3 linked regions of the Schizosaccharomyces pombe genome follow. The protein of the gene in region 2 interacts with the protein of the main gene of each other region in a pairwise test. Each region holds a gene or a part of one and is shown on either strand. Other genes may lie near its edges.

What was found.
Region 1: the proteins of man1 (region 2) and gda1 interact in a two-hybrid assay, tested with the Schizosaccharomyces pombe proteins (2 studies listed by BioGRID).
Region 3: the proteins of man1 (region 2) and ima1 interact in a two-hybrid assay, tested with the Schizosaccharomyces pombe proteins (2 studies listed by BioGRID).

What each region holds. Positions count from the first base shown.
Region 1 is NC_003424.3:1,694,972-1,702,484, reverse strand, and holds gda1 (Golgi nucleoside-diphosphatase Gda1), read right to left. Parts: upstream 4,615-7,513; 5' UTR 4,448-4,614; coding exon 2,777-4,447; 3' UTR 2,323-2,776; downstream 1-2,322. Other genes in the region: SPOM_SPAC824.09C (GTPase-activating protein), read left to right, coding at 884-1,035, 1,080-1,123, 1,193-1,271, 1,343-1,387, 1,526-2,168; hydroxyacylglutathione hydrolase Glo2, read right to left, coding at 5,002-5,653, 5,796-5,914; TIM23 translocase complex subunit Tim14, read right to left, coding at 6,861-7,232, 7,286-7,333, 7,381-7,383. UniProt on the Schizosaccharomyces pombe protein: After transfer of sugars to endogenous macromolecular acceptors, the enzyme converts nucleoside diphosphates to nucleoside monophosphates which in turn exit the Golgi lumen in a coupled antiporter reaction, allowing entry of additional nucleotide sugar from the cytosol.
Region 2 is NC_003424.3:5,233,011-5,242,251, forward strand, and holds man1 (LEM domain-containing protein Man1), read right to left. Parts: upstream 5,369-9,241; 5' UTR 5,309-5,368; coding exon 2,774-5,308; 3' UTR 2,146-2,773; downstream 1-2,145. Other genes in the region: SPOM_SPAC14C4.04 (uncharacterized protein), read left to right, coding at 1,283-2,086; poly(A)-binding protein Nab2, read right to left, coding at 5,795-6,037, 6,084-6,182, 6,226-6,807; SPOM_SPAC14C4.07 (transporter), read left to right, coding at 7,782-9,241. UniProt on the Schizosaccharomyces pombe protein: Required for correct meiotic chromosome segregation.
Region 3 is NC_003421.2:1,885,781-1,893,609, forward strand, and holds ima1 (inner nuclear membrane protein Ima1), read right to left. Parts: upstream 5,085-7,829; 5' UTR 4,693-5,084; coding exon 2,845-4,692; 3' UTR 2,323-2,844; downstream 1-2,322. Other genes in the region: SPOM_SPCC297.06C (uncharacterized protein), read right to left, coding at 182-874; qcr7 (ubiquinol-cytochrome-c reductase complex subunit 6), read right to left, coding at 1,762-2,175; SPOM_SPCC737.04 (uncharacterized protein), read left to right, coding at 6,317-7,582. UniProt on the Schizosaccharomyces pombe protein: Inner nuclear membrane protein that specifically binds to heterochromatic regions and promotes the tethering of centromeric DNA to the SUN-KASH complex.

The DNA of each region.
Region 1 (7,513 bases), 3.5 Mb from region 2:
ACCAACTGAACTCAAAGATAGGGTCAAGATGTAGTGTATCAAGTTTGAATCTTTATCAAGTACTATGTTGCCTCTTGAGAAATTCGTTTGAGAATAGCTGTATAGCTAAAGATAAATAAGGGTTTGAATGTAATTGTTGCTATGTAAACACAGTTGTAATTATAGATTTTTAATTGTTGCTGCTTTTGTACATTAGCAAAAAAAAATACAAGCAAGTTATGATGAAGAAGTCTGGTTATGCTATTTTTCTAAGAAGCTGGGATAAATTCATATTTTGTTCCTCTTTTTTTTTTTTTTTAAATATGTTTATGTCAGATTGGCAGATTTACCATATAAACACATAATGGCAAATTATGGCAAACTTTGCAAATGAACATGTATTTATCGAATTTCCTTGTTATCTTTTTTTATTGCTAGCAACACATGAAGACATCAGTCCCCTCTCGGCAATACATATTATCGATTGACACTACTGTATGCTGAGACTGAACAACAGAGTTCTCACTTGGACTTTTTGCTTGCTCCTCAAAGACTTTTAAAAAATTAAATAATAACTATTATATTTCTAACTGTTTTTAATCTAATTATTAGTCACAAGTTGCGCTTTTGTTATATATATGACTTCTATTCAAATTGTGTATACCTCTTTGAACTGCAACGTACTGTGGCTAATTATAATAATATTTAATGCTAAATGTTTTTAACGATGTTGATTGATAAAAAACCGCGTAATCATCAGAAAAGGAAGGATGCTTTTCTTTGCTATTCAAAACAAAGGGACGTAATTGTGCACTGTAACATTGCAATACGGTAGATTGTTCATTGACCCAAAATCACTAGACTTAACCAGTTTTATAATTTGCCTAGTAATCCTTGAAGTGTAATGATAAATTCAAAAAGCAAAAAGAAGGAATCAAATGCCCTCGTTTTAAAGTCGCTTTTGCGGGAACCTTACAACAAAGTTTGCGCGGATTGTAAGCGCAATGAACAACCACGATGGGCAAGTTGGAACTTGGGTGTTTTCATTTGTATCAGGTAAGTAATAGCTGCTTAAAATTGAAATCATTAACACTTGTTAGATGCTCAGGAGTGCATCGAAGTCTTGGAGTTCATGTTAGTCGTGGTATGATTACCTAGGATACAAAATTTAATGTTAAAAAACTCAGAATCAGAAATTAACAGACAAAACTAGTAAAATCTGTTGATTTGGATTCATGGACAGATGAACAAACTGAAAATATGACAAGATGGGGAAATGAACGTGCTAATTTGTAAGTTTGTCTACTTTTCAAAAAAACTTTGCGCTCACGTCCTAAAATATAAAAACTAACAACTTTAATAGGTATTGGGAAGCCAAACTTGCGGGTGGTCACGTTCCCTCTGATAGGTAGGTTTTTATTGATAATCCTTAGCATAGCTGGCATTGAATGTTATCTTTCTAGGCTACATACCCTTTACACGTTGCTAGCAAATTGGAAGCTTCTTTTTTGTTTTTTTTACTGCATATTTTCTGACCTAGATTTAGTAAAATTGCGACTTTTATAAAGACGAAATACGAATTTAAAAAATGGGTACTCTACCCTGAAATTCCTTCTCCGGAAACGCTAAAACCGGAACAGAATACCAGACCTGTTTCAGAAGTCAACGCCTCTTTAGATCTTAATACTGCTTCTCGATCTTCCAGTGCTCACTCAGTTAAAAGCACTTCTTCTGCTACAGTTACCAACGTTACTTCCAAGAAAGAAGCTATATCAGCTACCACTTCTTTAGCCCAGTCGTCTCCTAATTTAGCTTCTTTATCCAAGCAACCTTCTACTGTGCATGCTCCTTCGACTAGACAACGAGATTTAAAGTCTTCAATTCTCTCCTTATATGCATCTCCACGACCACAAGTAAGTTCTTCAAGCATAACCACCAATGCAACATACCAAAATCTACCGTCCCCAGTTTCAACTAGTACTACGTCTAGCCAACCTTATGGTGCTTTTCATCAACCGGCTACGACAGGATCCTCCTTTGTGGCAGATAAGTGGAAGATGCCTATGTTCACTTCTAATGTGACCAGTGCACAACCATCTGCTAGAGCATCACCCGTTCAATCCAATTCTTCTCGGCCGCGATCTTCTTTAGACAGTAAGATTATTAATTCTCATGATGTTTGGAAATAGCCTTTAGTGACGCTTATACAAATTAACAGAGGTTTTTACTACTTATTTTGAAATATTTCATTAATTTAGCTATTTAAGTTCATCAATCGATGTCGGCATTTATGGATTCCTATATTCAACCTTCATTATAATACATTTTCTACTTTTCAGTAAATATAAATGACATAAATGTATTTATTAGGTCTATTATCGCTGAAAGTTTATTAAGTATTAAAAGCTAGCACACATTGTATGTATTCCGTAAAAAGATGCCTACGATATTTGGGAAAATTGCCTTGATCAATTTCAACTTTCCCAGAAATTTGAAAGATTTGATTTACATGAAACAAACCAGTGGAATAAAGAATGTCCCTCAATCTATTAATGTTAGTTGTACAACAAATGTTAGATTTGCTATACGCCCGTAAAGAAGTTAACACTGAAAGGAGCGGAGTAGCGAATTTTGAGACATGGAAATAATATGGACGAATGTAGAAAAGAAAAAAGAAAAAAGAAAAAACAAGAAAAAAAACAGGATCAACTATATTAACCCTTGACCTCCTGAGGTTTTAAGCAAACAAGTTTACATATGCTTGTTGTTCATTCAACATAATAAAAGAAGGTAAAAACTAAATTTCTTCTTTCACGTTACAATTCCAACCATTGTTTTGCTCTGACAACATAGACAAACTAGCTCCCAAACACCATCCAAGTTCCTTGTTGTCAATTTTCTTAGCAGTATGGAGCTGTCGGTTATTGGGGATTTCATACCCAACCGAAAGTAAAGAAATCATATAATTCAAATCTAAACACCACTCTGGCTCTTCTTTCAACTCTTTAAGGGCGTCAGTTAAAGAAAAGGCGTCCTGCCAGTATGTTGGTCCACTACAAACACTATTTGCCAAATATTTCATATCTTCAATGGTAAAAGTGCTTGGCATGCCTAAACTGATCATACGATCGTAAAAATAACTGATTAAATAAATGGGAGAATCAGTAAACGTCTCAGTGAACTTGGGTTGATGAACACCATTGAAAGAACAAGGACGGACTGGGCAATTTTTGTCTTTATACAAGGCTTTTTCTGCTATACCACGACACTGAAGAGAAAGATGGGCTAACGAAGGGCCAACGAACACGACCTCAGAAGCTTCGCTTTTTGAATCCGGGTGCGTTAGACTAGCGTTGAGATGCAAACATGGATGGATGATGCTAGTGGAATCACCGAGCAACTCCAATGACTCCTTTAGGGCCTCTGCATTATTCAGCACAAATTTATGAATCAGCTTTCGAGCTTCCTTCAAACCATAACCTAAGTGAGAATGTTGATAAAGTTCATATTGCTCACCATTGTAGTCTAAAACATACTTATGGTCACCATCAACAAGCGATTCGCCATCAGAAGCGAAACGTGGTTCAAAAACAAGCTGTGTAGAAGCACCACCGAGGTCCATTACAGCGACAGTAGAGTGCGTGGCTTTACCACCCAAAGTTCCTAGAAGGTAATTAATGGTAATCCACGCATATATACCTTCCATGGAACCTTCAAGGATAGAAACACCGTCTTTTACAATAGGAAAAGGGTAATCGTTTTCCAAATGTTGTCGCACTGATTTCAAAATAGCTTTAGCCTCACTTTCCCCAGTCAATCGTAAACCAGCGGTTGCTTTTACAGCAATAGGGGAACAACGACGATATTCCTCAGGCACGTTTTCCATGGCATAGTCAAGTAGTGGGTCTAAGGATGCCGCTGCTCCTTCAGGATCACCGGCAAAAGAAGATAAGCCAGGCTCTATCATTTTAAAAAACTCTTCTTCTAATTTGGGAGAAGGATTGCAGTTGTTAAATTGGTAAACATGAACACGAGACCCAGTGGAACCAGCATCGATCATCAAAACATATTGACGAACAGGCTTGCTGTTATCATAAGCCACAGAACAATCATCTGAGTCAATAGAAGAAGAAAATGTTACATCCTTTGCCGCACTGGTTGGAGCTATTTTAGGTTTAGAAACAGCAGTCTTAGTAGGGATAGAGGTAGTAACAGGAAATAAAGGTTCTTCGGAAAAAAGAGGTTCCTCTAACTCATCCTTGGGATTCAAAAGATCGACTACCTCTCCTTCACTTCTGTAGCCTGAAGGAAGCTCGATGTCCTCATAATGGAATTCGTCGTTTGAAGATGGTAAAGGTCGGTTTGATGAGCCTGGGAATCCATTCCATAAAATGAACGTAACAGCAAATATAGATAGTGCAATTAACAAAGCCTTCCTACGGGCTATTGATTTCATAGTTGGAGTCATGAAATGAGTGAGTAATCCTAAGAGATATTTGGTGAATTCAAATAAATTGGTGAAGAAGTCAATTAAATAAGAAAGAGTGAATAAATGAACGCGATTTTATGATAATTATATTAATTAGTAGGCACCAAAACACCTATCAACACTTACTACTTGGTTGATGGCAAGTTAAATAAACATTAAAAACTGGCTTAGCATATATTCAGAGTTGTAAATGCTATTGTGTGGATACCTCTCTAATCGCGTTAAATCATTTACGGTAAAAGTGCGACTGTATAGGCCACCCAAAATTATATGTAAATACAATAACTTAATCGAAGTTAAGATAATCAATCTCTTTATTGCTTACATGTAAAGAAACGAAAACATTTATTTGAATAAAATAAACTCAGGATGCAATTTACTCTGACACCGCTAAACAGCCTTCAATTCGTATATGTGATCCAATTGAAAAATAGATCAACTATATTCTTGCTCTAGCTCCTAGTAGAATCAAGCAAAGCAACCGAGCTTACCAAGGCATACATAAAACATCATCAGATAAATTCAAAGTCGGTCTAAGCAGCGTTTTTCATGTCACGCAATTTCTTCATAACAGTGATTGGATCACTACTGCCCACTGCTTTTTGTACCGATTCTAACCCAAGGCACATGAATGGATTGAACTTCTTTTCGTCACCGATGGTAAAGTGACCAGTAGTAGATTCATGATTCTTGCAAAAATCCACCAATTTTGTAAGCTCAGGAGTAGAGAAGATCGTGGAACTAAACTTGGCATTTGATTTGGTGTATTCATGACCAGGGTAAGTTACGGTATCATCGGGTAAAGCAGCAAGGACGTGATTCAAAGCGTAGTCCATTTGTTTGGCATCTCCTTCAAAAAAGCGACCACAGCCTGATGTAAAAAGAGTATCTCCAGTAAACACGGCTCTTTTTGAAGGAGAGGAAACGTAATAACAAATACTGTCTTGGGTATGGCATGGCGTATGAAGAGCCTCAACTTGAACTTCTCCAACCTTGAAAATCTCCTTATCTTTGGGAGTGTATGTGACACCAGATGCATTTTTTCCGCCATAGACCTTTAAAGAAGGAAAGTAGCTCAAAATGTCTTCGTTGCCGCCTGCATGATCATAGTGATGATGAGTGGTCAGAATGTACTGCAAATCAATTTCTTTCTTCGCCGTTTTCTCTTTTATGACAGGAATAACACTAGAGTTTGTCAATGTTAGTTTGGTTAATTAAATGTTACGGAGCGCACAAACAAAACAATTCGGAAAACAGGAGGAGAAAATCATGTTTCCGAAATCACAGATAACAGTATTTAAGTCGTTATTTCATTCTCTTCACTTACCTCTCAGGCTCAGCAGGGTCGACGATGGCAGTGATTTTGGTTTTATCACAAGTCAGCAAATAGGCATAGTTGTTGCCCGTTCCTTTCCACATCCATATGGGCGTAATATGAAAAGACATCGCGTTTCTTATTATCTTATGCACTTTAAAAAAAAATGAATATACTAAACTTCCTACTCTACTAAGAAACAAAATCTTAGAGAACGTATTTGTTTAAGTCAAAAAAAATTTGACAGTACGCACTTATATACGGTAACGTCAGAGTGATATGTAAAGGCAGCTTCTGTGTTAATAATCATTGTTAGAAGCGAAATTTCGATGTTTATTAATCAATTCATTTTTTTTAATTATGATTATGAAATAAATTTTTAAATAAACATACTTCATATAAACTGTTACTGAAGTAGGTTTTAACAATGTCATTCAAAGCGCAAAAGTCAAAAACTAAAATCATTTCAAAGAGTATACATTTTGTAAGGAATGATATTGTTTACGACTAAGGAAATCAAATGCTCGAATTCTTCTTTTAACTTATCCTTGTTGTGAATTGATACTCGGAATGCATGGAAAAGAACCTGACAATTTTCCATTGAAAACGTTTTGGAAAGTAAGTGTCCGGAAACATATGAGAGACTCAAATTTAATCTAAAAAAGAGTTAAACTATTAACACTCGGTACAACCATCAAAAAGGAGACAAAATCATTGACGCTCGAAATCAAATTACTAAATAGCTCCAGCGTAGAGAAAGAAAAAAAAATACAATTTCGGGGTTTCCTTCGCATTTTCCGAAAAAGGATTGATATAAGAGTACGAAAAGAATCGAAGGCGATGTACTATACGGAGCAAACACACATCTTTAGAAGCAAAAAATAAAATAAATTGACAAAAGGTGTCTGCAACTGAATAGTAAAAGTTTTTTGGAAAAGCAAACAATAATTCACACAATGATTAGTTCTATTAAGGGCATCATAGCTTTCAGCTAAATTTTAGCAAGAAAACATTAGTTCTCCAGCAGATACAGCACATAATAATATTAACAACGATGCAGACCATTATTCATCACTTTTAAGCTTTCGGTATGGAGCTGTATTCAAGCCATTTCACCGCTTCAAGAACACTAGGCATTGATCGCTGCTTAGAAACAGGGAGTGCCCATGAACTAAATTTTCGGATTGATCGATCTGCATCCAAAAGTGACTTGGCCTCGTTTACCTTGCTGGCTACATAAGGGCTACCACCCCGATCTGGATGATTTGCAAGCATCAACCTTCTGTGAGCCTCTTTTATTTTTTGTCGAGTTAAAGTACGGTTGTTCAATGACAGAATTTGAATGGCTTCTGCCCTAGACATTTTTGACTCAAAACCACCCTTGAGAAAGGCCTTTACTCCGCCATTCAAATTCCGGTATTTTCTGAATGCGTCAACACCAATTTTCCCCTAAAGTCATTAGCATTTCAAATGTCAAGCTTTTATTTTCTGTTTTCACATACTGCCGCAGCCGTTGCAGCGATACCGACTCCAAGGAGAATAGCAGACGACTAATCAAAAATAAGTTAGTTAGTGAGGCAAAAAAAAAATCTCATACCATTTGTTATATCTCAAAACTTATTTAATGTGAAAGAAGTAACCAAAAATATATATATTCTCCTCAATTCCCAATACCTTGAGGATAGTGGAGGAAGAAAGCTGGTTCTCCTTGTATATGCTTAAGTTGCCAA
Region 2 (9,241 bases):
GCCTTATATTAGGTTTTTTATGTATTAAATGGCTTTTAAAATACTGTGAAATTAAATAAAAGAAGCTGTAGAAGATTTGCTGTACTTAAAGTTATCCGGATCATGAAATTTAAGGGAGAGAAAGCAGGCGTGGCTCTGTACATATGATTGATCTTGTTGGAGCTTTTCTGCTACCAATATTTTGATTATTGTTTACAAATTTGTTGTCATCTTTAACAAATCCAATTAACACTTGTGTCAGGTGTTGTTCTTGGTTTGAATTTAATACAAGCTATAGCACTTCTTGTGACTGATTTAATGGATGACAGTAGACATGTTGCATGCAACTACAGTTTTCAATAGCTTTAGCTAAGATGAAGTAATACCCTGGCTAAAAACGTTCAACCAAACTCAATGTTAATTTATTCATCTACTAACGATTATGTTATTATAGCTAACAGTTGTGTCATATTAATGAAACATAAATTTGACAAAAAAATTTGGGAAATACGATAATTCAAGCAAAGATATATTAAATTAAATTAAAATTTTATAAAAAAGCAATGTTATAGAACATCCAAAAAATCAGATCGAATGAGAAAAGATTTATCCAGAGTTTGGTAAAATTACTTGAAAACGTCAAATTCTCTTTCCAGGCTAATTAAGTTAAAACATTTTATGCCGCAAAAATTCCGCATTTATTTACACTAAAATCACATAATATAGCTGCTTTTTGTTCAAATATAATTATGATTTCATGAAATTAATTCAACATAACATTACTCGTTAAATAATTTTTATTCAATATTGGTCGACCTAAGGACAGTATAAATTTCCAAATAGCACAAGAGAGAGTGTAAATATATTTTAAAAAAATTCATTTAATTATTATCAACTTTAACGGCTCATAGATTATAAAATCAGGTCAATCTGCATTAATTCAAAAATATTTAACGAGGTATAACGGTTTTATGCGTACCACTTTAATGAACTGTAAAGATTCACGAATGTGTGATAGTATAATATTAACAACGGATACAGGTCAGTACCCGTAAAACATTCCTGTCTTCAACATTGTACCACCAATTTTACTCATAATACAGAACTCATTAAAAGAAGCTTTGATCTACTTCTGCAAAAATTTGGATTGTCAAATCTTCTCCTGTTAGCATAAATTCTTCTCTAGCTATAATTAGAAATCATTTGATAAGTTTGCATCCATTTTCTTTATTATAGATTGCAACTGGTTTATTTTATTGTAATCTCGTTTTTACTCACAAACTATTAAAAATTATCTATCATCATGTCTATGCCCATTGTTCGTGAAGTTAATAGTGATGGTTCCATGTTGCAGCCCTTTAGCAATCCCTTGTGGGTGCCTACTCCAGTTGGTAGATCGGGTAGAAAGCATAGAACGCTTAAGATGTGTATTGTATTACCAGACACTGGGTACGATGTTACTCAGGTTTGCGATCCTTGGCAATTTTTTGTAAAGGAGGGATTCATGGTTAATTTTGCTACTTTGACTGGTATTGTTGCTCAAGCCGATCAGCGCCTTTTAAGTGGAGTGAAATCTTGGTTCATCGGTGCCACATACAAGACTAAGGATATTTATGAAAGAATGTCAACTACCAAAGAATTTTTAAGTCCTTCAAATATGTCTGATATGAGCTTTACCTTTGAAAACTTTGACTTGGTTTATGTGCCAGGAGGGCAGGATCCCGCTGTTTTAGAACTTGTAGAGTCTCCTCGTCTCAGTTCATTGTTAGCTGACTATATACCTTTATGTGCCCGTGTTAGTGGCACCCGCGTTTTAGCAACAATGGCTCAAGGAGCAATCGCTGTTCAGCGGGCTGCTCCCAATCTTGAGATTAAATCGACTACGACTCCACTTTATATGGAAAGAGCGTCTTATTTATTTGGCGCATCTAATCCTCCGGCTTATACTTATACTTATATTCCTGAATCGAAATACGTACCAGGGCCCAAAACTGCTCACTGGGTTTATTCGGACGAAAAGTTTTTCTATGCTTCCGGTCGTTACTCTGGCGATGTTGAACTACTTTGTAAAGCTTTACGAAATCTCGTAGCAAGTGCATTGCATTAATCTTTCTTATTTGTCTTTACTATTTTATCTTATACTAAACGTGTTAATTATTTCTTTGTTGAGTTTCCCAGATTCTATTTTAATTTCATATTCTATAAATTTCATATTTCTGCGTATTTAGAGTTATATTGCAATAAAGATAATTCAATTTGCGAGTTTGGCTTTTGTTTGATTTGGAGCATTTTATGGCCCTTGTTTATCGTTCATTTTTAGTCCTAGAACTCTAAAAGTGTATTAGACCTGTTTTAGACTGTACCGTTCAATACCGTCGAGGCATTGAATTTTTACAAACATGCCAGAACCCTTCAAAATAAGAACTGTCACATGGAACTCTTTATTTTCATTGAGGCCGGATGCCAAATGCTAATTTGAAATGCTCTTTTAGACAGCTAATGCAAACGGTTCGGGTCTAAATTTGATATTCTTTTTTTAATTAGAAAAACCAATGTTAAATTAATGAAATTTTCGAATCTGTTGATTAAATTTTTCGATAGTGTTTCAATCTATAAGCTCCTGTGCTTAACAAAGTGCAATAACTAAAAAATAATTATATTAACGTGAGGAAAATAATGTTGACATAATAGTACCTACTGATGCTGCACTCGTATCTAGATTCATAAATCATCATGCCAAACGACATTCATAAAGTTTGACCTTAAGGTCATTTTTTATATATCTAACCGTATTTTATAAGGCAATGTCATCTGAAAAAACCCCGATCCATTCCCAAGCACGATTTTTTGCCAAGCGCTCACTGTCCCATACCTTTACGCTTACCATTCCTTCAAGGACTGAAACCACCTTTTCCCATATTTCTAATTGAATTGACAAAGGGAGATGTACAAGTTCAAAAAGGCCCTTGTCATCTGCGACTCCAGATACAAAACAGTCAGAACGTAGCTGCACGACTTCTACACGAGGATTGACAGAAAAATCTGTCAAGGACTTTAGCTTGGTTTTTTGTAGCTTAGCAATACAATGTGAAACGCATACGGAGACTCCATGCTTTACTACATGCTTCTTGGCATAGACTCTTATTCGCCATACAACGGTACCGGTAATAGCTGCCAATATACCAATCAACAAGTAAATTCGCCAACAGGATATAACTGCTGAAGTCAAATACTTCATTAAGGAAACTGTATGAGAGTAGACAGATCGCAAACAATTAGTCGGAAATTTACTCAATGCCCCACGTACTCGGAGCTTCCATAGCTCAAGAGTAAATAGTGGAGAAAATAAGTAATATAGTACTTTTCTTGTCAGCTTTGAATTATATAGACGGTTTAAAGTAGTCTTCAGATATACTTTAAAATCTTTAAGTCCGACTACATTATCGATGTCCTGCTTATACATGTAATATCGATCCTTAAAATTGTCAACAAATGATTTTCCGTTTAAATTCTTTGCACTTTCAAAAGTGGCAAATTCTTTAGGGGCTTTATAGTACCACTTTCCGATAATAGACATAAATGCCTGCACCATCTCTTCAACCTTATTAACCTTCACGGTATTCGGAATACATCGTGGGTATGGTTTTAAGCCGAAATCTGCAAGTAAAGGAAACGAAGCCTTTAATCCTTCTTTGCAAAATAACTGACGATTGAAACCACATTCAGCGTTCTCAGGACAAGGTTGACAAGAGGCTTCAATTCCTAAAGAGTGAGCAAATGAATATGCAGACTCAATAGAGGAACGTAAAACTCCTGGTTGGAGATAATATAGACTAGAAGGATAAGGTTCGGCAGGAACTCCACAGAAGCCAACGCGCTGTACTTCTTGATGCCAAAAGCCTACAAATCCCAAGAGAGGTACGACAAGCAATACAAGCCATAAGGAATTTACCACTTTGGTAAAAGAGAAAATTAAAGAAATGAATGAACCAAGACTAAAGTATGGCCTTTTAGGTTGCCTATCCTTAGTCAAGGAAATATTTTCCTCCACGCGATCAATACCCGTAGTACTAAGACCGAGATCAGAAGAAATCTCATTAACCGAATCATCGTCGGGTTTTTGGGAATCAAATTTTTTCTTCTCTGGCGTCGATGTATTAGATGCTTCTAACCCAAAATTTGTAGAAAACGCAGGGTTGACAGGACGATGAATTGATGCATTTGCTTCGTACAGCTGATTTAGGTGTTCTACAAAAATTGAGGAAGATTGAGATTGAGGAAGGGGTGATGATGAATTCTTTTTGGGATGAGTCCATGAAAAACTGTTATTTTCTGGAGTGAAGTTCTCCGAATTACCAGTAGACAAGCCAACCAAATTGTTGAGTTGGTCAAATGACTTGTTTGATTTGAGATAAGAGTCGGAACTTTGTTGAAAATTTTTTCTGACTGAAAGAAGGTTACTTGGATTACATTCAAGCGAATTCAACGACGACTTGATAGGAGAAGCGTAAACGCTTGACGAACGGGAGGTAAACTTAGGCTTTAGGTTTTCGCCTAAGAAACTGAGAAAAGAACTTTGGTTCAATGGATTTTCGCTTTTTGGAGACGTCGTGTTCAATACCTTTACTGGCGTTGGATCACCCGACACGGAGGCATTAACAAGATAGCTTTGATCATAGTCTAAAAACTTTGAAGCAGGTGTTACGATATTACCAACTTCTGCAGAAAAATCGTAAGTAGCGGTGTCTACAGAAGAATCCTTGTTTGTTAAATTCTGGACAATTGAAAAAGACGATTCCATTGAGTTGTCGAGGTTTACAACTGCCGCATTAAGCTCAGTTTGCGTCTCAAATGGTATATGTGTTATTTCTTCGTTTCGCGAATCTATTTTGGCAATCTTTGAGGCATGAAATTCAGATTCTTCTGAAATGGTTATCGTGTTAGTATTCAAAACTTGAACGTTCTCGTCCTGTAACATCCCCATCACATTATCTTCAAATTGTGAAGTTTTAGAAATTTCTGTATCATTAGCCTCGTCAACCATATTTATTTTTCTCTTAGAGCTAATTCGAGCAGTAACATTATTCGTAACCCCTGCCACCCTTCTACGAGGACTACGAGAAGACGGAGGAACGTTCTTTTGCTGCAATTCTGTCATAGAGATCAAGCCATTTTTTGCCCTTCGTAGTTTACTGAAAAGCGTGATTAACTGCGCTTTCTTCGCCGTTGACGGATAGTATATTTGATATTCAGTTAATATATTACGCAAATCTACTACTCGAAGAGACGAAGGATCATAATCGGGGTCAAAATAAGAAGGGACCTCCATTCAATTAAAAAAAACCTTTTAACTAAAGGGTATGTGTATAGACGTAAAACTGGCGAATGTAAATACCAAGTGATTGTTGTCAACAACATGGTGTAAGCCAAGTAACCAACAAGTAACATAAGATGTATTTAGTAATGAATGTCAACAAACGTGGGTATTTGAATATGTATAATATTAACTTAACCGAAGAAGTAAATAAATCATTATTTGCATAATTCACATCAAAATAAAATTTTCATTCACTAAAAAGACATCAATATAACGAAAACAAATTTTTTAAATCAATTTAGCGACTTGATAATTGCCGATTGCAGCAAACGTAGCGACAAATAAAACTTTATCGTTTTAGCAATCTATACAATAAAATAAATATCAAGTTTGCAAACTCTAGAAGGTATGTTCTTAAACGAAGTATCCTGGCTTGACTATCAAAAGTAGATATGTGCCAATTATACGAACACGAAATAGTATCATAATTCTCTAAATTTACACAGAAGGAACATGAAGTTGTTCTTCTGACTCGTTAACAGCAAACGAACGTTCACTCAGGGACGTCTCTTCTGTTTTAGAGGGTGGCCGCCATGTCATATTTCTGCTTTTCGTCGGGTGGATAAAACGACAAGCTGGATTCAAACACGGTTTATATTTACAAGGAATTGGAATGGTTGACATGGACATGAAAGGTGGTAATGTAGTAACCGTAGCTGGAGATGGATGTCCCTTGACACACTGTATACGTTAGTAATAGTTAGATTTAAATTATTATGGTACTTACATCAGCAGCTTTGCATTCTTTACCAGAAGCACACATTTCACTGCTCAGGACCATACCTTCTCCTGGGGCTGCGGCTGGTGTCGGATGAGCAAATATACACTAAAGAGTTAGTTTTAACAAATTATCTGATATTAATACATACGTTAGCACGGGAGCACTTATCGGCATATTTGCACAAAGGGACCTCTTGGGTTTGAGTGAGAGCACGCTTGGCAGCAGGCATAACGGATTTCGAGTAGTTAAACGAAGCTGCCATGGGATTGAATCGCTGTTTCTGAGATGTAAGTTTGAGCTTTTGTCCGACACGCCCAGTAGGTAGCTCCTTCTCTTCACGTAACGAAGTTATATTAGGAGTTTGAGAAGATTGAGGTTGTATGCTAGTTTCCGGCACAGAGAAAGATTGCTGCGACTTGTCAGTTGACTCCTTCTCGATAAAATCGATTTCGTCGATCTTGCTGACTGACTCAACTGAAGCATTTTTTGATTTTTCAAGCTCTTCAATTTGATTAAATAACCAAAGTGAGAAGCTAGTATCAAAATCGGACCCTATTAAATCAACTAGTTCTTCATTAATTTCAGTTTGTGTTTTTCCATTGCTAAGCATCACAAGAACAAAATCGGCCAGAGAAGCAGCCTCTTCTCCCCACCCATATTCAGAAAGTTTTTTTTCAATCGAATCATGAAGTTTTTCACTATATCCAGGTGTTTCCAGTAATGTAGTCATGTTGTTGGTTTACAGTCAATAATTAACTAAAATAAGCCAAAATAATAGAGATGCTCAAATTTACAATAAATGTACTCCGAGAATTAGTAAATCAATTCCACTCCTGTTATGGAATCAGAATTTAATAAGTTATGTACCGGTATATGCTCTAAAATGAAATCAAATAGCTCAACTTAGCATGAAATAAAGGAATTGAGAAGAAAGAATACAATCACAAAAATATGTTCACAGACAAGAAGTTGGCAAATTTGCCGTTCCAAAAGAAATAAACTTCCTATAGATGATGCGTTCGGAGAGCTTCAATGGAATACGTAGACTAAAGGTAATTTCTAGTAGCAATAGTTATATTGATACTGCAAGCCGTAAGTTAAAATACAGCAAGAGCCTCAGTTCAAACGTAAGTGGAATATAAGAAATATCTTTCACAGTAAGAACAGAAAGAATTAATAAATAGCATAAAATAGCGAGTTTGCTAATTTTTTTTCGAATATTATACCCAATTTCACTATAAGAACTATTCAACGACTAACGATGACACTATAACGCCACAACGTAACAGCATTAATTAAACTAGTCCAGAATCTAAGCGTCTAATATATATACATCTAAAGGCTTAGCCAACTACAAAGCAATTACATTGCATTGTCATTTTGGAATATAGTTATTTCTTCATAGTAACTAGTAGTTCAAAATTACTTTCTCGAGCAAATATTTTCCTTCGGTTCTCAACCTTCTTAGTAGCACCAACTACCTAAAGTCTTCTAATTATCTCGAAATCGAAAACGTTGTGAAACGTATATATTGCATATAGAAAAATTTTTAGGATATAGGTGCAAGGAATTTTACAATTGATGCTGCAGTTTGAGGGCAACGAGTTAATTGATTATTGCGAACATTTCGAGTAGAAGAGTATTTGGGTTATAATTTACATTCTATTTTATCAGCGTACCCACCATTTTGAGAAGGAGCTACAAATGTCTTCACACGATGATGATCATACTCCATTACTAATTTCCGATCCGTCAGTGAACAAGCCCTTTCGATCCAGAACTCCTTCACCAGAAAGAGAATACTGTTCTGATTGTCCTTTGCAAGCTAAAGGTTCTGCATGCAACGGTAATTCTCATTCATTAAAGCATGAAACCAATGGTGCCAGTTCAAGCAATAATAACGTTGCAAAGTCAAGCTCGCATGACTCATTTAAGGCGAAGCCTAAAAATTACGACTCTACCTCCAATTCTAATGAACCCATCTCTTTCAATGAACCAGATTCATCTAATTCTCATCATAATAATGAATCTATATGTAACAATGATAACTGTTGTCGTGAAATCGCCAGAAGACGTTCTTTATCTCCACTTTTGATTCTTCCATTAAACTTTATTAATGCCTTTTCTTGGGGCATGATTGAAATACCTCTGCTCTTTTTACTTCGACAGGAACTATGTGCCATTCATTATAACCTTGATCCTACACAGTTGTCCCCAGATGACCCAATATGCCGACTAGCGGAAATTACTACTGGTGTTTCAAAAGTCCGTGCCGCTTTTGGCTCTTTAGCCGCCTTTTTAGGTCTTTTTTCCACCGCTTATTATGGAACAATGGGGGATATTTATGGTCGCCGCCTTGTACTTTTCATTACCGTCTCATTTTTGCTGCTTGGTGATTTATGGCTTTTATATCAGTCCTATGCCCCCAAGCATCCATATTTTGTTCTTTTTGCTGCTGCCTTGAAAGGCTTAGGCGGTTATATTTCTACCGTTGTAGCCAGCCAAAATTCCTTTGTTGCAGATTGTTCTAAGACCGAGTTTCGTGCATGGTATTTAGGATTAAATTTTGCTGCTTACCATCTAGGAACCGCTTTGGGACCTAGTTTAAGCGGATTCATTGTGCAATACACTCCTCATATGTATTATGTATTTTATATTACTTCAACTTTTTGGATTATTTATTTACTTTACGTTTGGTTGATACTTCCAGAAAGCCTAGATGTTTCGGAAAGTAAAGAGCAGCAGAATAAAATATCTGGATTTTCCTCGATATGGAGATCATGCCTTGAGCCACTTATAATTCTTTGGCCTCGAAGTTTATGTACAGAGGAATCATGCGAATTCCATCAGTACGATATTAATGCTGATACCCATGCAGGAAGAAGACACTGGGACGTGTTACTTGCAGCAATATTGATATCTTTAACTTTACTCGGCGCTGGTTCAATGGGCTTATTGCCGCTTTATACGGACTATAAATTTGGCTGGGGTCCAATGAAGGCTAGCTTAATATTATCCACCGACTCTTTTGCTAGTTCAATCACATTAGTTGCGCTATTCCCTTTACTTTCTAAAGTTATCGAAAAAATAATCGAAAAGCTTTATTCTTCTGAAGGATTATTTGAAGATCCAAGTCGTGCAGACAATACCTCTTCCCTACAAGG
Region 3 (7,829 bases), on a different chromosome or scaffold from region 2:
ACGCTTTTCATTTTTTATACTTTGATTAAATTTGTGAATTTTTAATATAAAGTCATATACATCTTAAGTTGAGAGAAATTAAATACTCATTATGTTTGACTCATAGTTAAAAAGCTCTAATCATAATGAATAGTTGCACACTTCTTTGGTTTTATAAATGTCGGCGTAATTGCTAAAATGATCAACTAGAAAAACCTTGCAACCTAGCCTTGGCTAACTCTCGTAGCTTTTCAATTGTTTCTAACTCTTTTTTATTTCTTTCCTCAATTTTATTTCGAAGCTCTTGGTCGCGCTCAAGTCTTTCCATTTCTCGTTTTGAAGCCCTGAATTCTGACCGTTGTTTTTTTTGCTTCAATCGGGACTGAAATGAGTCCCGGTCTCCGTATAAGTCGGTTTCTTTCAAGTCTTCTTCATTGTCAGATGCTTCGCGATAATGCTTCAAAGCAGCTCGTTTTTCCTTCTTTTTCTGTTGCATAGCTTCTTTGCTTCCTGCTGGTTCTTTTGGAAGAATTTCATCCAACAATTCTGTCTCCCTTTTAGCTTGCGATTTAAAAGCTGATTTTCGGGATAGCTTTCTCAACTCGTTTAATTGCTCCTGCAATTCTCGTCGATCTTGTAAATTTTCCAAAGTTGGTCGACTTGGACCTACAAGACGAGCATAAGAGGGTTGAGATATTCTCTTTCCCAACGAATACCATTTACTTTTCATTTTTCCATCATTCCATCTTTTTACAAAGCGTCGCCAGAGGTCGTGTACAGAATCTTGATCACAAGTACCCAAATCGATCTGCTTCTCTTCCTTAACATATTCTTTAAATATTTCATTGAACATTTCTTTCTGAGTAATGTCTTTATAATTGATTTTCCCCTGCATATTCAATAAATATTTCGAACAAAATTGTACATGATTTTCTTGTAATTTTTCAAGTTCCTCAAACAAGTTAAACAAACGCGGAAATAAATAAAATTAAATTCAATAATACTTTACGTCGATCGGAGGTTCATATATTATGACTCTGGGTACAACATTTCAGATAGTGAAAAGCTCATGAGCTTGAAGTCGTACAAGGAAGAGTATGCCTAAAGTCAAATAGGAGTAAGCTTAATTAAATCAATAAATACAATGCCAAACTGTCATAAAATTTCTCAAAATAAGTTTGTCTGTTTAACAAGTTTAAAATTTGATATCACGATTTAAAAAAAATACTACATTAGTTGGTTTGCCTTACAATGTTTTGTTCACTAACTTATGTTATACCAACCATTAGCTATAATTGATTCAGCGAGAGAATAATTGCAAAATCATCTTCAGAAAGCGAAACTAAGAAACAAAAAAATTGTTTCTCTTTCAAAGATAACAGTCAAGGAAAAAGCAGCTACAAAAAATAAAAAATAAGAAAAAATCGTTGTTCAATTAAAATATGAAAACTGAAAGCATAGAGAGGAGAGGTCAAAGAGATGGGAGATATACCAGTAGTTAAAATAGAGCAAAGCAAAAACAGAGCGGCGTAGAAAATTAATCGCACACATAGTAAAGTCAAAGTACAGATAAACAGCAATATAAAAACTTTCGTTTCCACGTACTTTGTCGACTGATATAACCGATGAAATAAGATACGTGCATAAATTGTCTTCCTTTTTAGAAATTGGAGTTGGGGGTTACTTAGAAAATAAAATTCTCACATCCGTTTACTACTCTTTTAATTTTCTTGTCGGTTTTCATGAGAGGAATAAGTGGATTAAAGGAGGACATGCAAACTTTTAATGAGCATGAGCAGGAGAAGATGTTGCATGGGCTTGAGTCTCGGGTTTCTTAACAATGAGAGCGTCGAAGGCCTCACGCTCTTTCCTCTCCGCGATAACCTCAGCTAAAACAGGTCTGAGGTAATGGTAATCCTCCTCAGGCTTTGTCCATTCAGATTTTGGCAAAATTTTATTCTCAATGCTAAGTTGCATGGCACGGCGAATACGATAGACTCGATCGTAGGATTCCATCTTAGGCAAACGAGATAACGCCTTTTGAGTATCGTCATTCTCCTCCAACATCAAATCGTCGTATCGAAGACCATATTTACGGTATCCTGACAAATGCACATAGGCATTGGAGATGGGTAAAAGCAATTTCGTCAAAAATGGTGATTTTTGAATATACTTGGCAAGAGACACAGGTTTCATACTTAAACAATCACTTCAGCAAAAAAAAATTTCGTCACTACAAAATTTGCACTGAAATCAATAAAACTCTTAGTTTTGAATATTGGAAGAAGGTAAGATCTCATGGCCCTATAGTATGCCAATGAATCCTTCGGTCACCTGATGTTACCTGCACATAGAATCCTGAGCGGAATTAGAAAGTAATGAAAATCTGAATATCCTAGTATTCTCGGCTCATTTCTCTTAAGTTATTGTTTAACTCTAACGATTTTATAACCTAAACTAATTTAACGACGTGTCTAACATATATTCGGGAATGCACCATTGCTAGTATTCGTATGAACCAGAAGTTTGCTCAGGTTACATGTTCTCTTTCAGTACTAACCTATTGAAACGAATGAAATTTATCAAATAAAACTCGTTAGTATGAAAAATACTTAATTATATAGCTTTAATAGGAAAAAAAAAGTAAATTTATATTGGATCCCATTTGTGCGAATGCGCTAGCTCGAATATGTCGAGTTGCCAGAAAGGAGCTGAAAAACTTTAAACAAATGATAGCGACATAACCGCCTCTGGCAATATTAGTAACGAAATTTATTCCAAAATTGGATAAATTAATGAATGATTGGTTTGCAAAAGAATATATTCCATATTACTTTGCATCCACTTCTTTAAATAGTAACCAGATCAAGCCACCTTTCTTAAAGGATAAAAGTTGTGTTTCATAACATAATATGTGGCTAACACCAATATGCATAAATAGTAAATGAACATAGTAAAACGATTCAAACGCCATCCGCAAATTAACCCAACGAGGAACAAAATTGTGAAAGCAATGAGAAGCTTTGCATTTCGACGATTCCGGTGAAGAACGTTTTTCACCTGAATAACTTCTGTTGGATCGTTCTGAAGGGCTAAAGACTTACTAAAATGACTTTCAAGGCTCACTGGCTCATTTTGAATTTCGCGATTTTGACCATCCCCTGCTTTACCAGTATCTTTCTTTGCAGTGGACTTTAAAGTAGACACGGAAAAAGGTAAATTCTTCTCTATCACGTTATCACCTTTTAGAGATATGGAAGGGTTCAGGGAAAATTTACTTGGCTGATTAGACGTCGTATGAATAGAATCGTTTACTTTGTTGCCCACTTCTTGAGGAACCAGTTTCGATAAAGGAGAATTTTGAAGCTGAAGAGTAGGTTTAAGCATCGGTCGAACAGGACTAGATGTTGGAAGGGCGGCCATTTTTTTTTGAAGAAAAGTCATAGGGGATTCCTCCGGAGCTCTCTCACGAACAGACTGATTTCCCAAATGAGACGTTGCGTTGGTATTATTCAGAATTGAAATTGTCGCAAATTGCTGCAATTTATTCTGCCCACTAATTCCATCTTTTCTGTCACTCGATTCCTTTCCTATCCGATGCACAGAAGATGTACTTTCCTGACGCTTCTTGCGTGGTTTCAAAATTTCGCCAGTCAAATGAACTTCTGGAGGAGGACTTGGCTTTAAACATGAGATGCTAATCCATGTAAAACAAATGGTAACAAAGAAAAAGGCTGCATGTATTTGACGGAGTAAAAAATCACTTTCAAGATTGGTATCCGAGCTTAAGTTCAAAATTTCCGACTCATAACATGAAAGGAGATACAAGCAAGTTAAACGGATAATAAGATAAAGTGCCTGACATTGGATATACTGATCCCGCCCAAAAAGCTCCCAAGATGGATTGTCCATCATTTTGTACCAATACGGGTTCCAAAAGACAACGAAAAAACCAAGCCAATTAAAGTAAAAAATTTTGCTAGAGGATCCATCTAATAGGAAGTAAGAGATTGCTTTTAGAAATAAATTACGAATACCATCTGGTAATAAGCTTATTATCATAGAATGATACAAATGCCACACAATCGATTGCAAATAGAAAAACGAAAAACCAAATCCACGAAGTAACCAAAGAACAAAAGAAGCTTTTGGATAGTGATGGGGGACTTTTGCGTTTAGCTGTTCCTTTGACTTTTGCAGCCAATATCCTAAAACCTGATTTTTGGCTTCATAATCATTGGCATCAAGTTGGTCTTGAACGGAGTCATAGCATTCAGAGCAAACAATGGGAAATTTCTCTTCTATAGATTTTTTATACTCTGGTAATGCCTTCTCATAAGCCTGATAATCTGGATGTGATGAGTCTGGCAGATAATCAGCAAGCATCCGATTCACAATCAGTTGGTTCATTTGACATTTTTCACAAAAGGGGCTCTGAAAGGAAGAACTGCTTGGGAAATCCCGTATCGCGTAAAAAGGACCAACACCCTTGTCTTGAGTTGGGGTTGGAGGTCGATAATCCAGGATATCACCTTTCTCATCAATATGGTTGGTGGCTTCACAAATTGAGCAAGTCCAAGTAGACGTTCCGTCTCTAATTTTTTCCTTCTTCTTGTTGCAATAAAAACAAGTTACTGTTTTATCACCAAAAGTGGATTTCAATCCATCATCGGAATTTCCCAATCCAAGTGTAAACAATCGGCTAGATTCCATTTCCCATTATACCATTTAATGCAAAGTTCTCATAGAATCCTGTGTGTGCAAATTTAAAAAAAAAAAGGGAAACAACAAGTCAAACCAGCACACGTAAGAAGAAAACCAAACAACTGATATTCTGTGAGTTAACGGAAATAAAATGCATGTAAATATCTTTTATATCAAGGTACAAGGTGTAATGGTACAGAGGACCCCTTATACAGAATGACCTTTATCAAACACTTGTGCTGCTTGACAAAGTAAAAGAGAAGTACTAAATAACGAGTGAAGTAACAATTAGATACACTTGAATAGTATAAAAGTTTTCTTGAAATGTTGAGCAAGAAAACTCGAAGATTTCGACTATACAGTTTCCCCACGGTGCTCGTGGTGAGAATAGGGAAAAGGCCGACCGTCAGCAGGGTCCCAAGCCAATTCGTAGCGGGTTGTCAGAACAAAGTTCAAACAAATTGAGGATAAAAGGAGTTTTTGAAGAAATGAGCTGTTTAATTTTTTTTTGTTTGTATTTTCTTTTTCGAGCTTCCTAGAAAAAAAAAATTTGAACCATTGTACCAGAAGAACGATCAGTGTTTGTGGCTTATTTTTAGAGCCTTACTTATGATATGCTCTACGACGCATTGAAGTGGAATGCAATGAGAAATATCTTAATAAATTTTCTTTTTAATAAAACCAACCGCTCTTAATTTGTTAGGTGAAAGTCAACAAAAAATCTTTTTGGTATTTTATGCAAATAATTCGTTTAACAAAAAGTTTAATAGTTTTTAAGTTCGCTTAATTTTTAAGCTACAAAGGAACGAGTTTGAGAAGTTGTGTAGAAAAGTATTGACAAAATGTAGGCTGAGTGGATGTCTACAACAATGCCTACAAGCCATCGTTAAATGTCAAATGTATTGATGAAACAAGCCGCTTTTAAATGAAAGATTGCATTTGCATCTTAAGCTTGCGCCAACATTGACTGTTGCCCCATTGTAAAAAAAAAATTCAATAATGTCTGTCAATGGAAACGGTGTATGTCACTGACTCCAAAAGGTCATAATCATGAATTAAGCACGAAAACGAAAATTTCATACAAGTAGTTCATTTTTACTTTTCAATCCTTATTGCATGTTGAGAAAGGAAATCTAGTCTTGTAACTATAAGCAATAGACAGCATGATCATCTCTATTCTATTACAAGTTGATTAAAATTGATATGCTGCGCCATTAATTAACTTACGAGAGGCTCATCGCTACGATGAAATGGCTTAGACCATGATTATACAAAATATTATAGGGTAGAGACGATTAGGAAATTGGATGTCTTCGTAAACTTGAAATAGGACGAGTTGCGAAAGTTGATGTTTTACGTGGCTTGGGGAGCGTTGTTAGGAAAAGCATGATGAAGATGGCAAAATGGCTAAGCTAAGATAAACGATTTCATATTTAGTATTTAACAGGAAACAAAGCCCTTTGGAAAGAACCAAATTTTAATAATTTTTTTTTTTTACTTCATTTCATTACCTTTTATTTTTAAGTTGGACGCACTGTGGTTTTGAGATTCTGGATATTGGTATCCTTTTTCTTCTTTTCTACGATTCTCGAAGTTTTAAAAGTTTCAAAGTATTTTACCGACATTCGACAATATGTCGATATCTAATCAATCGGGTTTGGATATTTTGAGAGAAGTTGATGATGAAGGTCAGGAAAACTCTTTCTTGAGAAAGACTACAAGGAAAATCCAGCAGTTTTTTAAATCGGATCCGGGCTATCAATCTCGCAAAGCCGAGTACAACAGTCCTGCTAAGGCTACGGGCGATGTGAATATTAATGTTACGAGTCAGGATTGGTTATCCAAGTTGGATCGTAATCTATCCATCGAGAATTTAACAGGTAAAAGCTTGGGTATCGTAGTAGTGTCTGGGAGAAATAAAGGTCTCATAAAGAATCCGTTTTTAGGGGGGTTAGTGGATATTGTTATGCGTCGACAGGATAAACTATATCTCAAAAGTGTTGAGCAAGTGTCTTCTGAATATTCACCGATGCAGGAACAGGTGTACGAGTTCAAAGTAGATATGCCTTTGGTGCAGAAACGATTAGGGGCTTTTTTAAAGAAGAATCGAGTAGATGGATTAAGCCTTTCGATGCATTTTTCTACCGGCAACTATAGCTTGCCAGTATTAATTCGACATGTTTTACTATACGATTATTACACTGACGACATGAAGGACTCCCTATGGAGAGCAATGATCATCTACGTGTCCCGGCAGGTCACTTCCAATAAGTACACGAAATTTCATCTTTGGTGCGTACAAAAGCGGATTGGCAATATTAGAATGTACTTGGTACGACCGGGAGACGTTTATTCATTCCAAGGACAAACTAGTTGGGCCGCCATTTGCAACAAAAGTTACATGTGCAATATCCAGTTGGAGCAGAGTCCTGAAGTTAGTGTTAAAAGTTCTTTACCAAAATATAGCAATGAACCAATTTTCCAAAGCAAAACGATAAGTCAAGAAGAAGTTGGATGGTTGTTGTTTATGCTCTCTATAGGTAATCACGCACGTGCGTTTCCCATTCAAAATTATCTAGCCAATACTGTGATGGAAACAGTATTGCCTGTTGAACTGAGATGCCCTTTCCTTTCTAGATCGGTTGACTGTGAAATTTTTCAAAAGAACACCAAGCGTCGAGTAATGGAAAAATGGCGTCAAGAATTCAAAAAGGACCTTAATGTGTGCGAAGAATTGGAATTCAAAAATGTTAAAAAGAGTGGTTATATGCAGCCTCTTTTTGATCTTACCATGCCTCTAGGTTGCTTCGATAGCTTGGAAACAAAAGAAATGTTTTACTTACGGCATAACATTGCTGGATTCCAGGCAGATCTTACCCCATACCCCATGAGGATTTAATACATACTACATATTCACAAGTGCATTCTCTTAAGAAATTCGGTTTATTGAAAAAAAATTAAAAATTAAAAGATTAGTGCAGTCTTAACACGAATTTCCTTTTTATTAATGAAAATGATGAGATTAAGTCATGCACGAGGCAATTTAAAATATTTTGTTACTGTGCTTTTTTGTTTCTTTTGTTTTTCTGTTTTCCATTACTTACGACAACTTTAAATTTCTCATTTTTGCATACTTCTGTTTTCTT